3 linked regions of the Saccharomyces cerevisiae S288C genome follow. Changing the gene in region 1 together with any one later gene gives a genetic interaction. Each region holds a gene or a part of one and is shown in the gene's direction. Other genes may lie near its edges. The genes, in order: MMT2, FET5 and SMF3.

What was found.
Region 2: mutations in MMT2 (region 1) and FET5 impair growth when combined (synthetic growth defect), as found in Saccharomyces cerevisiae (one study listed by BioGRID).
Region 3: mutations in MMT2 (region 1) and SMF3 impair growth when combined (synthetic growth defect), as found in Saccharomyces cerevisiae (one study listed by BioGRID).

What each region holds. Positions count from the first base shown.
Region 1 is NC_001148.4:126,066-129,691, reverse strand, and holds MMT2 (Mmt2p), read left to right. Parts: upstream 1-1,603; coding exon 1,604-3,058; downstream 3,059-3,626. Other genes in the region: GRE1 (Gre1p), read left to right, coding at 554-1,060; ribosome-associated Tef1p biogenesis chaperone CHP1, read right to left, coding at 3,246-3,626. UniProt on the Saccharomyces cerevisiae protein: Mitochondrial metal transporter involved in mitochondrial iron accumulation.
Region 2 is NC_001138.5:47,280-51,037, forward strand, and holds FET5 (ferroxidase FET5), read left to right. Parts: upstream 1-1,859; coding exon 1,860-3,728; downstream 3,729-3,758. Other genes in the region: LAM5 (Lam5p), read right to left, coding at 1-465; YFL041W-A (uncharacterized protein), read left to right, coding at 1,455-1,646. UniProt on the Saccharomyces cerevisiae protein: Iron transport multicopper oxidase, which is required for Fe(2+) high affinity uptake. May be required to oxidize Fe(2+) and release it from the transporter. Essential component of copper-dependent iron transport.
Region 3 is NC_001144.5:210,334-214,091, reverse strand, and holds SMF3 (putative divalent metal ion transporter SMF3), read left to right. Parts: upstream 1-2,158; coding exon 2,159-3,580; downstream 3,581-3,758. Other genes in the region: mismatch repair protein MLH2, read left to right, coding at 1-1,723. UniProt on the Saccharomyces cerevisiae protein: Has a role in controlling the cellular iron ion levels. Mobilizes vacuolar stores of iron in conditions of low iron levels.

The sequences.
Region 1 (3,626 bases):
CTTTTTTAGGGATCACAAAGGGAAAATAACTACACAGCATGTGGTGGTACAGATGAGGTCAATGGCAGTTTTGCCTTAGTTGTAAGTAATTAACCAATCCTTGTCGTGCTTCTCATGAATGTGTATGAATTTATGTTCATCAGAATATCCCTCTTTAACCACAGTTCTTGCGTAAAGCATAGTCTGGCTTCCTTTAGAAAAAGGAAATGTGGTAATTCTAGGACCACGTTTTGGGCTTCGTCATTTCTTTTCACTCCTCCACTTTTATGACATTTGATCGCAAGTTCCTCCATACATCATGCCTAGTAATCAAAACAAATAACGCACAAGGGAGTAAAGGGAAATGGTTAGAAAAGACCGAAATCCTTTTTTTGGTCTCCGTTACGTGCTTGTTAATCAGGCTCCCTTGAAGCAGTCAATATTTCTTGGACTATAAAAGCACATTACTATTTCATCAAAAAAAGGATACATACCTACCCTCAACTCTTAATATCTACTAGCAGCAGAGCCAAACACTACCGCATAAAAGCTAAGTACGAATAACAATTAAGAAATGTCCAATCTATTAAACAAGTTTGCTGATAAGTTGCACGGCAACGATCATGATGAACGTTACGAAGACGACAATGACGACCAGACTAGACAACAGCGTCATGAAAAACATCAACAGAGGGAATTCAGGAATCAAGGATCCAAGGCCGATCCCTACGGCGAAGAAAACCAAGGGAATTTCCCTCAACGCCAGCAGCCACAGTCTAATCTAGGCGGTAACACGCAGTTTGGCGGTAACGACTTCCAGCAACAAACTACTGACTACACTGCCGGCACTGGTGGTGGCACTTATACCCAAACTTACCGCGAAACTAACACTCAAGGTCAGTTGGACGACGATGAAGACGATGACTTCTTGACTTCGGGCCAACAGCAAAAACAAGGTCGTACAAGAGGTGCTCAAAGTAACCGCTACCAATCCTCTAATATCGGCAGCGGTAGACGCGATCTGTCTGGGTCAGGAAACGATGAATATGATGATGATAGTGGGAACCAAGGCGTCTGGTAGATGCGGTGGTCGAAGCTTCTATTACATGCCTGAGGTGCGGGTCTCACCCTTGAGCAGCAAGTGAGAAATTTTACCCTAATTTCGTCTTCTTTTTTCTTTTTTCTTCATCTGGACCTATTATTGGTCATGATGCCACTTTTTACAAACTATTTCATATGTTTAATCTAGTTTATTTAGATCTACAGCTGTCAGTTTATACGTTTTTATTAATGTCAGTTTGATTTGATTAGTAGTGACCTTTTTCGTCGAGGTATGCCGTTTCACGGACCTCCAGATCCAGGTGTATAACAATAGAATTATGGGAAAACGGGGTGGGAAGGTCGTTGTCTAACTCAAACCTCCTGGAATTAGCGGGTAAAGTGTCGTTATTGTGCTGGGCAACAACTTTTTTTTACGATTTCTTTTTACCTCTCATCTAGGTTAGTGTTAGTTGTAAAAACCCGAGCAGATTGGTGCCTTTTCAAGTGCGTTCTTACAACCATACTTTTTTATTCTAGAACGTGTAAGCAATTACTTTCTCAAAAAAGCAAACGCAATAAAGATATGCTACGGATAAGTATTGACTCTATCAAGCAATTCGGTTCCTTTGTGCCAGGTTATAACAACACTAGTTACCATGCTGCCGGGAGGGCCATAAGAACATCAAGCCTGTACAGTACAATGATCTCAGCCAACCCGAGAAGGTGCCTGCATTCTTCGAAACTGCTAAATAAAGAAGGTCAAGAAGAGGGCTATAATGAACAGCTCATTTCAAAAATGTCTTCACAGAATGGATCGAATTCCAGACAGAATGAAAGTGAAGGAAAGAAGGAAGGCAAGGCTTCCTCTGTGAAGTCGTTGTTGCAACATACTCATAGTCACAGCCACACACATATGCATGACAATCCTTTATTGTCACTGAACGTACAGCAGATCAAGAAGAATCCTGGCGTAAGAATAACATGGATAGGACTTGCATCAAATGTGGGGATGGCAGTAGGAAAATTTGTAGGAGGAATCACTTTTCATTCTCAAGCATTACTTGCTGATTCCGTACATGCTCTTAGCGATTTGGTATCTGATTTTTTAACACTGTTTTCTGTCCAATATGCGTCTCGTAAACCAACTTCGGAGTACCCATATGGCTATGGTAAAGTGGAAACTGTGGGATCTTTGGCAGTATCCACAATCTTAGCAATGGCTGGTATATCTATCGGTTGGTCGTCGTTATGCGCTATTGTGGGGCCTGTCATTCCTCATGCCATTCTAGAATCGATGGCCGGTTTAATTGGTGAAACGCATTCCCATTCTCAGTCGCTAACACAACAGGCAACTAATGTAAATGCTGTATGGATAGCAGCGGGTTCTATCTTGGTTAAAGAATGGGTTTTTCAGGCAACAAAGAAAGTTGCAATCCAAACAAATTCTAATGTACTAATGGCAAACGCCTGGCATCATCGTGTTGACTCCTTGACATCGTTGGTAGCGTTGGTCGCTATCACATCTAGTTATTTTTTCAACATTCAATCCTTAGATAATTTAGGTGGGCTTGTAGTGTCAGGTTTGATCATAAAAACAGGTGGACAAGGTATCTTATCCTCACTGAAGGAGTTAGTTGACCAATCTATACCACCTACTGATCCGCGTTATCTAGAAATCGAATCTGTCATAAAAGACAGCATTGGCAGTTTGAAAACAGACTTAGATCTCAAACAGTCGTTACATGTTAGAGACCTTACTATATTAGCTTCCGGTCCTAATCTTCGTGCCACCACAACTTTGGAAGTGCCAGTATTACATTCAGGTCAGGAAGTTGGGATAAGATTTTTGGAAAACGCTATTTCGACTATAAGAGAGGATTTACGTATGAAGGTGCCAAACGTGGGGAAGGTGGACGTCGAGTTTGTTGATGTAACCTCTGACTCTAAAGGTGATTTGGAGCACTCTCATGACACTAAATCAACAAATCATACTCATACTCATTCTGATTCTGCCGATACTCACACCCATAAACATTAGGGAATTCTCAATGATGAATTTTTTCAAAAGTTAAGAGCAAAAGTACAGCCTTTCACATTTCAACAATTTACTGAGCTTAATATATATATGTATATATATATATGTTGAACAAGGAAGAATGCCTTGTGTTGTTCCTTTGTATAAAGTAATGTATTCTATATAATCAATCACAAATATATATGCATGTTCATTTCTGACCGACAATCCAATCGTTCAAGCCGTGTTTATTTCTAGCAATTTCAAAAGCGTAAAATTGTAGTCTCACGACAAAACAAGTAGTAAATTGACCATACTCGGCTGAAGCGTCTGTCCTCAACAAAGTACCAAAGTTATAGTCTTCGATTTTTTTCTCAAAAATTGTGAAGAACTTTCTCCATCTTTCCTTGGCTTCTTTTGTTTTTAATTCTTCCTCCGTAAACTTTTTGACCCTTTCAACATCTTTGTATTCTGGGAATCTCTCCATAAAATTCTCGTATATTTCGTCATCAAACTTAGTCAAACGTAACTTGGAACCGGGAACACTTGTTAATAGTTTCCAATATGTTTCCGCTTGTTCAACAGCAACAAC
Region 2 (3,758 bases), on another chromosome or scaffold:
TTCCACCTGTTGCAAGGGAGAGCCTATTTCAGCAATTGTGGCATTACTGATACGGCGGCTTGATCTTCTTTTGGACCCCATGGAAGGCTCCCTTCTATGTGATATAATGCTTGGTTGCGAAACTGGCGAAGTTGGCGTAGTTGATCTAGAAACTGGGGATGGCACGTTTGACTTAAACGAAGAGATCATTCCACTGAAGAACGAGGACGTCGAAGAAGTCCTTGATTGATCGTGCTTGATCTCTGTAGGGTGTTCATCGGCGGCACTTTGGTTTGTAATCACTACTAAATTCTTGCGTACGTCGTTGGTCTCTGTATTTAGGGGCACTTCTTGCAGTGACTCAGCTTCAGTATCGCCGGCATTGTCATTGTTACTTGCATGCTCAAAGGGGGGACCCAATTGTTTCACAGAATCAGTACTGTCCTCATTATCTGATACGGGTTCCCAGTTATCTACATCCGACATCACCACTAATCTTTTTGTGTAGTTGCCTTCTTCACCCTTTTCTCAGATAGCGAAATGGTTGAGTGTTTTAATATAATTGTCAAGATGCTTTATGAAAAAGGGTGGGAGAAACAAGTCCCCCTGCTCAGCGATACGCGATCTCTCTGATCTCAGACATAAAGCAAACATTCTATCATGAGTGACATTGAGGATGACGGTAATTGGTAATATCTGACCTTCTGACCTCCACTCAACACAATGCAGAAAGCTATCAAATGTTTTGAACCAAACATGAAAGAGATTCAGAAAGTTGCCAAGCCAACGTGATGTCACAGGTCAAAGTTTAAGTGAAGGCTATTGGAATCTGCGGATCAGACATTCACTACTACACGGATGGCCAGGTCAGCGTAAAGTAACCTGGGAAGCCCATGACTTTGGGCCACGAATCCAACGGTGCTGTTCTTGAAATTGAAGTATCTCAAACTACTGTAAAGCGGGTGATGCAGTAAGCATATAGCCCTCATACCCAAATAGGTTTACCAAAGAGTTTCTGTGAGGCCATTATAGTTTGCAGCTCAACATACCATTTGCTGCATCACTGACCGTGACGGCACCCTTTGTCAAGAGTTCGTGGTTAACGTCGACTGCGTTTACTGATTACCGTTACAGTGAATTTCTAGCAAGAGTCCTCTGTAGATGCCACTATTTGTCGCTCTCCATGTAGTAAGGCCGTCCTAGCTGAAGTGTGGGGAGTAAGCTGTAGTTATAGGTGCTGGAACAATTGATCTGCTGGCGGGTGCGGTACTCAGAGGGTTTGGTGTTCATGAGTACACATGATTCCAAGAAAGAGCAAAATGGACAGTTTATAAACGCTATGAAGAACTGCTATAATCAGAAAAAAAGGAAGCCTGATGGATTCGAGTCCTCAGGTACTCAAAAGAGCGTTGAGAATATGCTAAAATGTGTCAAGAACGGTGGAACAGTTAAGTAGGTTGATATCCACCCCTCGAATGAAAATGTGGGGACCCTCCCAACGAGATTCCTTCAGAGAGATTACATATAAAGTGAAATTCAAGTATGACGATGGTGACTACTCCTTGGCCATTGATTTGATGTCTAGGGATTGTATTAATGTCTATGAGTTGATTACCGATAGGCTACTGGTTGATTTCCTTTCAAAAAAGCTGCTCAAGCTAAGATAGGTAAGGTGTTTATAGAATTTATCGAACTGTATCTAAATATTTTTAATATTCTTGTTTTATTACTTTGTGGCTTTTGTATTCAGTCTGCACCCTGTTTCGCCATCGATTCTTATAATACATACATTTTTATATAAGATCACAGAAAATACGAAGACGTAAAAAAAGAGTTCCGAATGAAAGAAGAAAGAATCAAGCACAGGAAGACAAGAAACGATGTTGTTCTACTCGTTCGTGTGGTCTGTACTGGCCGCTAGTGTTGCTTTGGCAAAGACACATAAGTTAAACTATACCGCTTCTTGGGTAACTGCCAATCCTGATGGATTGCATGAAAAAAGGATGATTGGTTTTAATGGCGAATGGCCACTTCCAGATATCCATGTTGAAAAAGGAGATCGTGTTGAGCTTTATTTGACTAACGGCTTTCAAGACAATACTGCTACTTCTCTACATTTCCATGGTCTTTTCCAGAATACGAGTTTGGGGAACCAGCTTCAAATGGATGGTCCTTCTATGGTGACACAATGTCCCATCGTTCCGGGACAAACATACCTGTACAACTTCACTGTCCCAGAGCAGGTAGGAACGTTCTGGTACCATGCACACATGGGTGCCCAGTACGGTGACGGTATGAGGGGTGCATTTATCATCCACGATCCGGAGGAGCCCTTCGAATATGATCATGAACGAGTCATCACTCTATCGGACCATTATCACGAAAATTATAAAACGGTTACCAAAGAGTTTCTGTCAAGATATAATCCAACCGGTGCTGAACCTATTCCTCAAAATATTCTTTTTAATAATACGATGAATGTAACTTTAGATTTTACACCCGGTGAAACGTATCTCTTCAGGTTCTTGAACGTTGGGCTGTTTGTATCCCAGTATATCATTCTTGAGGATCATGAAATGAGTATAGTAGAGGTGGACGGTGTTTACGTAAAGCCAAACTTTACTGATTCGATATATCTTTCTGCGGGGCAAAGAATGAGTGTGTTGATTAAAGCTAAAGATAAAATGCCTACAAGAAACTACGCTATGATGCAAATAATGGATGAGACGATGCTTGATGTTGTCCCACCTGAGTTACAACTCAACCAAACTATCCAAATGAGGTATGGCCACTCGTTGCCGGAGGCACGCGCATTGAACATTGAAGATTGTGACTTGGACCGCGCCACGAATGACTTTTACCTAGAACCTCTGATTGAGAGAGACCTACTTGCTCACTATGACCACCAAATTGTCATGGATGTAAGAATGGTCAACTTGGGTGATGGTGTGAAGTATGCATTTTTCAATAATATCACTTACGTCACACCAAAGGTGCCTACTTTGACAACGTTGCTTACCTCAGGAAAGCTTGCGTCAGATCCTAGAATTTATGGTGATAATATCAATGCGCAGTTATTGAAACATAATGATATCATAGAGGTTGTTCTAAACAATTATGATTCTGGCAGACATCCATTCCATTTGCACGGTCATAATTTCCAAATAGTCCAAAAGTCGCCAGGGTTCCATGTTGATGAAGCTTATGACGAATCTGAGCAAGATGAAATGACCGTCCCTTATAACGAATCTGCGCCATTACAACCGTTCCCTGAGAGGCCGATGGTGAGAGATACAGTGGTTCTTGAACCTAGTGGACATGTTGTCCTGAGATTTAGAGCTGACAACCCTGGTGTCTGGTATTTCCATTGTCATGTAGATTGGCACTTACAACAAGGTTTGGCTTCGGTCTTTATTGAGGCACCCGTTTTACTTCAGGAAAGGGAAAAGCTTAATGAGAACTATCTGGATATATGCAAAGCCGCTGATATTCCGGTAGTTGGTAATGCTGCAGGTCATTCGAATGATTGGTTTGACTTAAAAGGATTACCAAGACAACCTGAGCCACTACCAAAGGGATTTACTACTGAAGGATATTTGGCATTGATTATTTCAACCATTATCGGTGTCTGGGGCCTATATTCCATTGCTCAGTATGGTATTGGCGAGGTTATCCCTAACGATGAGAAGGTGTACCACACGTTAAGGGAAATCTTGGCTGAAAATGAAATAGAGGTTTCTCGCGGCTAATTAAACAAGAAAATATAAAAGAAAAATGAA
Region 3 (3,758 bases), on another chromosome or scaffold:
TGATGTCATTGGAGAAAAATGGTTAGTTGATAGTAAGGGTGGTATTACCAATGGAAAAAGGTACAAGGTATCTTGTCCCGTGGGGACTACAGTAATATTAAGGAAACTTCTGGGAGGGTTACGAGCAAGGTATCTCGAAATTTCTTCGAGGCCAAGAAAAACATTCGATGAACTAATCTATTTAATAAACCATTATTCTCTAATTCATAGAAATATTCGGTTTTATTTTTCGTTGGTGTCATTACAAAAAAATGGTGCCATAGAGCGTAAACAAATGCAAGAAACGTTAGACCCTAAGATTTCTAGAGCTAGAAGTTTGTCCCTACTAGCTAGACTAAAAAAGCCTGTGCCGCTGAACTTTATTGTAGAAGAAAACTTTGTTATCGACGAAAAAATAAATTTAGATTTGATCTTACCGAGGATGGTGCCAGAATCTGACGTTATTAATATAAAGAGACGATTTAAATTTTTATCTGTTAATGAGAGAGCGCTATCTTTGAACTTGGAGACGGGGAAGACTATTTCTAAGTTACTATCGTCAATCTATAGAGATTTCTCTTTACTAGATCCTATGGTTTGGTTTATTAATTTAAATTGCGATACAAAGCTTCTTGACGTAAATATCGAACCAGAGAAAAATGACGTGATGATCAAAAGTTTTGAAGTGATATTTAAGAAGATAGAGAATAAGTTAAAGTTGTTATTGGAGGAGAGAATTGGCATCGAAACAAATATGCTGGGAGATAAACATGTTCAGCCTTCTATCAACGAAAAAACTTCTCCCGCACTGGTGATACCTACACCCGACGCAGAGAATGAAATATCAAAGGGCTGTGGTGCTGTTAGTGGTAAAGACAAGACTGACATCCCACAAAAAAACTCAGATTTGATAGTACCAACTTTTTACGATGAAGCAAACTTAGAGAATACGACCATTGTCGCTGCTACTCCTTCACCTACAAAATTTAGCGAGGATAAAGCTCTTGACGAACAAACTCAGCTGACCATTTCAAGTTATAGAAGCTCGAGTTCCGGGTCTATGGCTTCCGAGGACAGTACTAATTGGCGACATAATTTCCAACAAGAACTAAGCGAAAATAGTGAAGTAGCAGGAGCTGGATCCTCAACATTACCCTCGTCATTAACTTATAACTATATAGAAACTATTCCAGAGAACGAGGATTTAGAACTTTCTAAGGACGCTTCTATTTCTAATCCTTTTATGATCACAAAAATAAGAAACGTCAACAAGAAACTGAGCGAAAACTTACTTGAGGCCAAACGTACTAGCTGTGGAGATGCCAATAAAAGGGGAATGCCCAACGAAAGACAGCTTTCAAATACAGAAAAAAAGGAACTAATAAAGCTTCAGCAAACCTACGGTAAAAGAAACAATACCGTGGACATGACCATTCCACGAAATTCGAAAAAAAAAGTAACTGATAATTATATAAAGAAAGCATCCTGCATGCACAAAACAAGGCCGAAACTCATGCATTTTTCCGAGTATACCAACAACTACGTCTATACCCTGAAGAATGAAAAAATTGTTAAGCATGACAGCGATAACTTTGCCAAAGAAACTCTGTGGTTACGATCGAGGGACGATGCCACAAGCCCTTCTTCCAGTCTTTTGCAAGCCTTGCGAGCGCATGTGAAGAAACCGGGACACATTGAAGCCACGACAAATGAATGGTGCCTCTTCACGCCAGACAGCCCCTGATGATCGGGTGCACTATCACCACTCAGCACAATAGATTACTTCATAATAGACCATTGTTTGTAACTCATGGTAACCGCACCCTGTTGCCCGCCCTGCCTCTCTTCCAGTTTCCGCACCTTGAAATTTCCGTTTTGGGTCAACTTAAAAATGCTCTAATATTGCATTGTTACGACATCCTGTTGTCATGCGACTAAAGGTATTTATACTGTATATATCTCATTCATCTGATTCTGTGAGGTTGCATAATTGAATATTTATTTCAAAGGAGCTAGAAGACAAAGATCACTCCACATAAATATACGGGGTTCCTTTATATATTAGTTCATTTTTTTTTTCAGTTGTCATACCCAAACTATTATTTCCTTCTGAACTCCTTTAAATATATCGTTCTTCCAAGCTAATTGATAACAGTAGTAGCATCACAAGAGAAAAAAAATGCGATCTTATATGCAGATTCTTCAAAAATTTGCCAAATTTATTGGGCCAGGGATATTAGTCAGTGTGGCTTATATGGACCCAGGAAATTATGCCACTAGTGTTTCCGGTGGTGCTCAATACAAATATACCTTATTATTCTCTATTTTTATATCCAACATTTTTGCCGTACTTTTGCAATGTCTCTGTGTGAAGCTGGGTACTATCACTGGCTATGATTTGGCTGAAAACTGTCGTCATAATTTGCCTAAAAAGCTAAACTATACCCTTTACCTTTTCGCTGAAGTGGCAATCATTGCTACTGATCTGGCCGAGGTTGTAGGCACTGCCATCGCTTTACAAATTCTTTTCAAAATACCACTAACTTGGGGTGTCTTATTAACGGTGCTAGATGTTTTGGTAATTTTAATGTTCTACACACCAAACGGCCAGTCCTTAAAAAAAGTTAGGGTTTTCGAATTTGGCGTTGGGATTTTGGTCATTGGAACTTGCATTTGCTTTGTTTTGGAGCTGTTTAAAGTTTCAATCCCAGACAAAGCTGAATTGTTTAAAGGGTTTTTGCCTTCAAATATCATTTTTAAGGAACAACAAGCTCTTTACATTTCATTGGGTATCTTAGGTGCCACTGTGATGCCTCATTCATTATACTTGGGCTCATCCATTGTTAAACCAAGATTGCACGATTACGATTTGAAGAAATACGGTAAGGTTAATGCCCGCCCAAGTTTAAGCGCTATAAAATATACGTTAAACTATGCGTACGCTGAACTAATCATTTCTTTGTTCTTAATTGCCACCTTTGTTAATTCCGCTATTTTAATTGTTGCAGGTGCTACTTTATCAGGCCAACCTGAGGCAGAGGATGCTGATTTGTTATCTATTTACAAATTACTGGTCCACTACATATCTCCTGCGGCAGGGTTAATCTTTGCATTGGCCATGTTATGTTCTGGTCAATCTGCCGGTATCATCTGTACACTTGCCGGGCAAATCGTTTCTGAGGGATTTTTACAGTGGTCTTTACCACCTTGGGCCACAAGATTGTGCACCAGATTGATTGCCATTGTACCATGTTTATTTGTTACTTTAACCATGGGGGAAAAGGGAATTTCAGATATTTTGAATTTTTCTCAAGTGGTCTTGTCCTTAATTTTACCAATCGTATCCGCTCCTTTAATTTATTTTACCGCAAATAGAAAGTTGATGGTTGTTCATGACGAAAATGGTGTGGTAAGAGCACCTGCCGATGTTAACGCCATTGCTGATGAAACCACTCCATTGAACTCCAAGCACAGTAAAATAGTTGATTTTACTAACAGTCGTTTGTTGACCTATACCTCTGTTTTCGTATGGGCTTTAATCGGGAGCTTGAATTGCTATTTGGTGATTTCCTATCTCTTAGGTGCCGACATCCATTTTTAATGGAACCTATTTATTGTCAAGTGTGTCGTTTTCTCTCGATTCTTGTTTTCTCTCATTTCTTTATTCTGCATAATACAACCCAAGTATATACTTACGTATGCATAGCCTTCAGAACAAATGCATACTTTATCTAATATCAAAATATAAACATACATTAGTCAAAAAAGACTTGATGAGC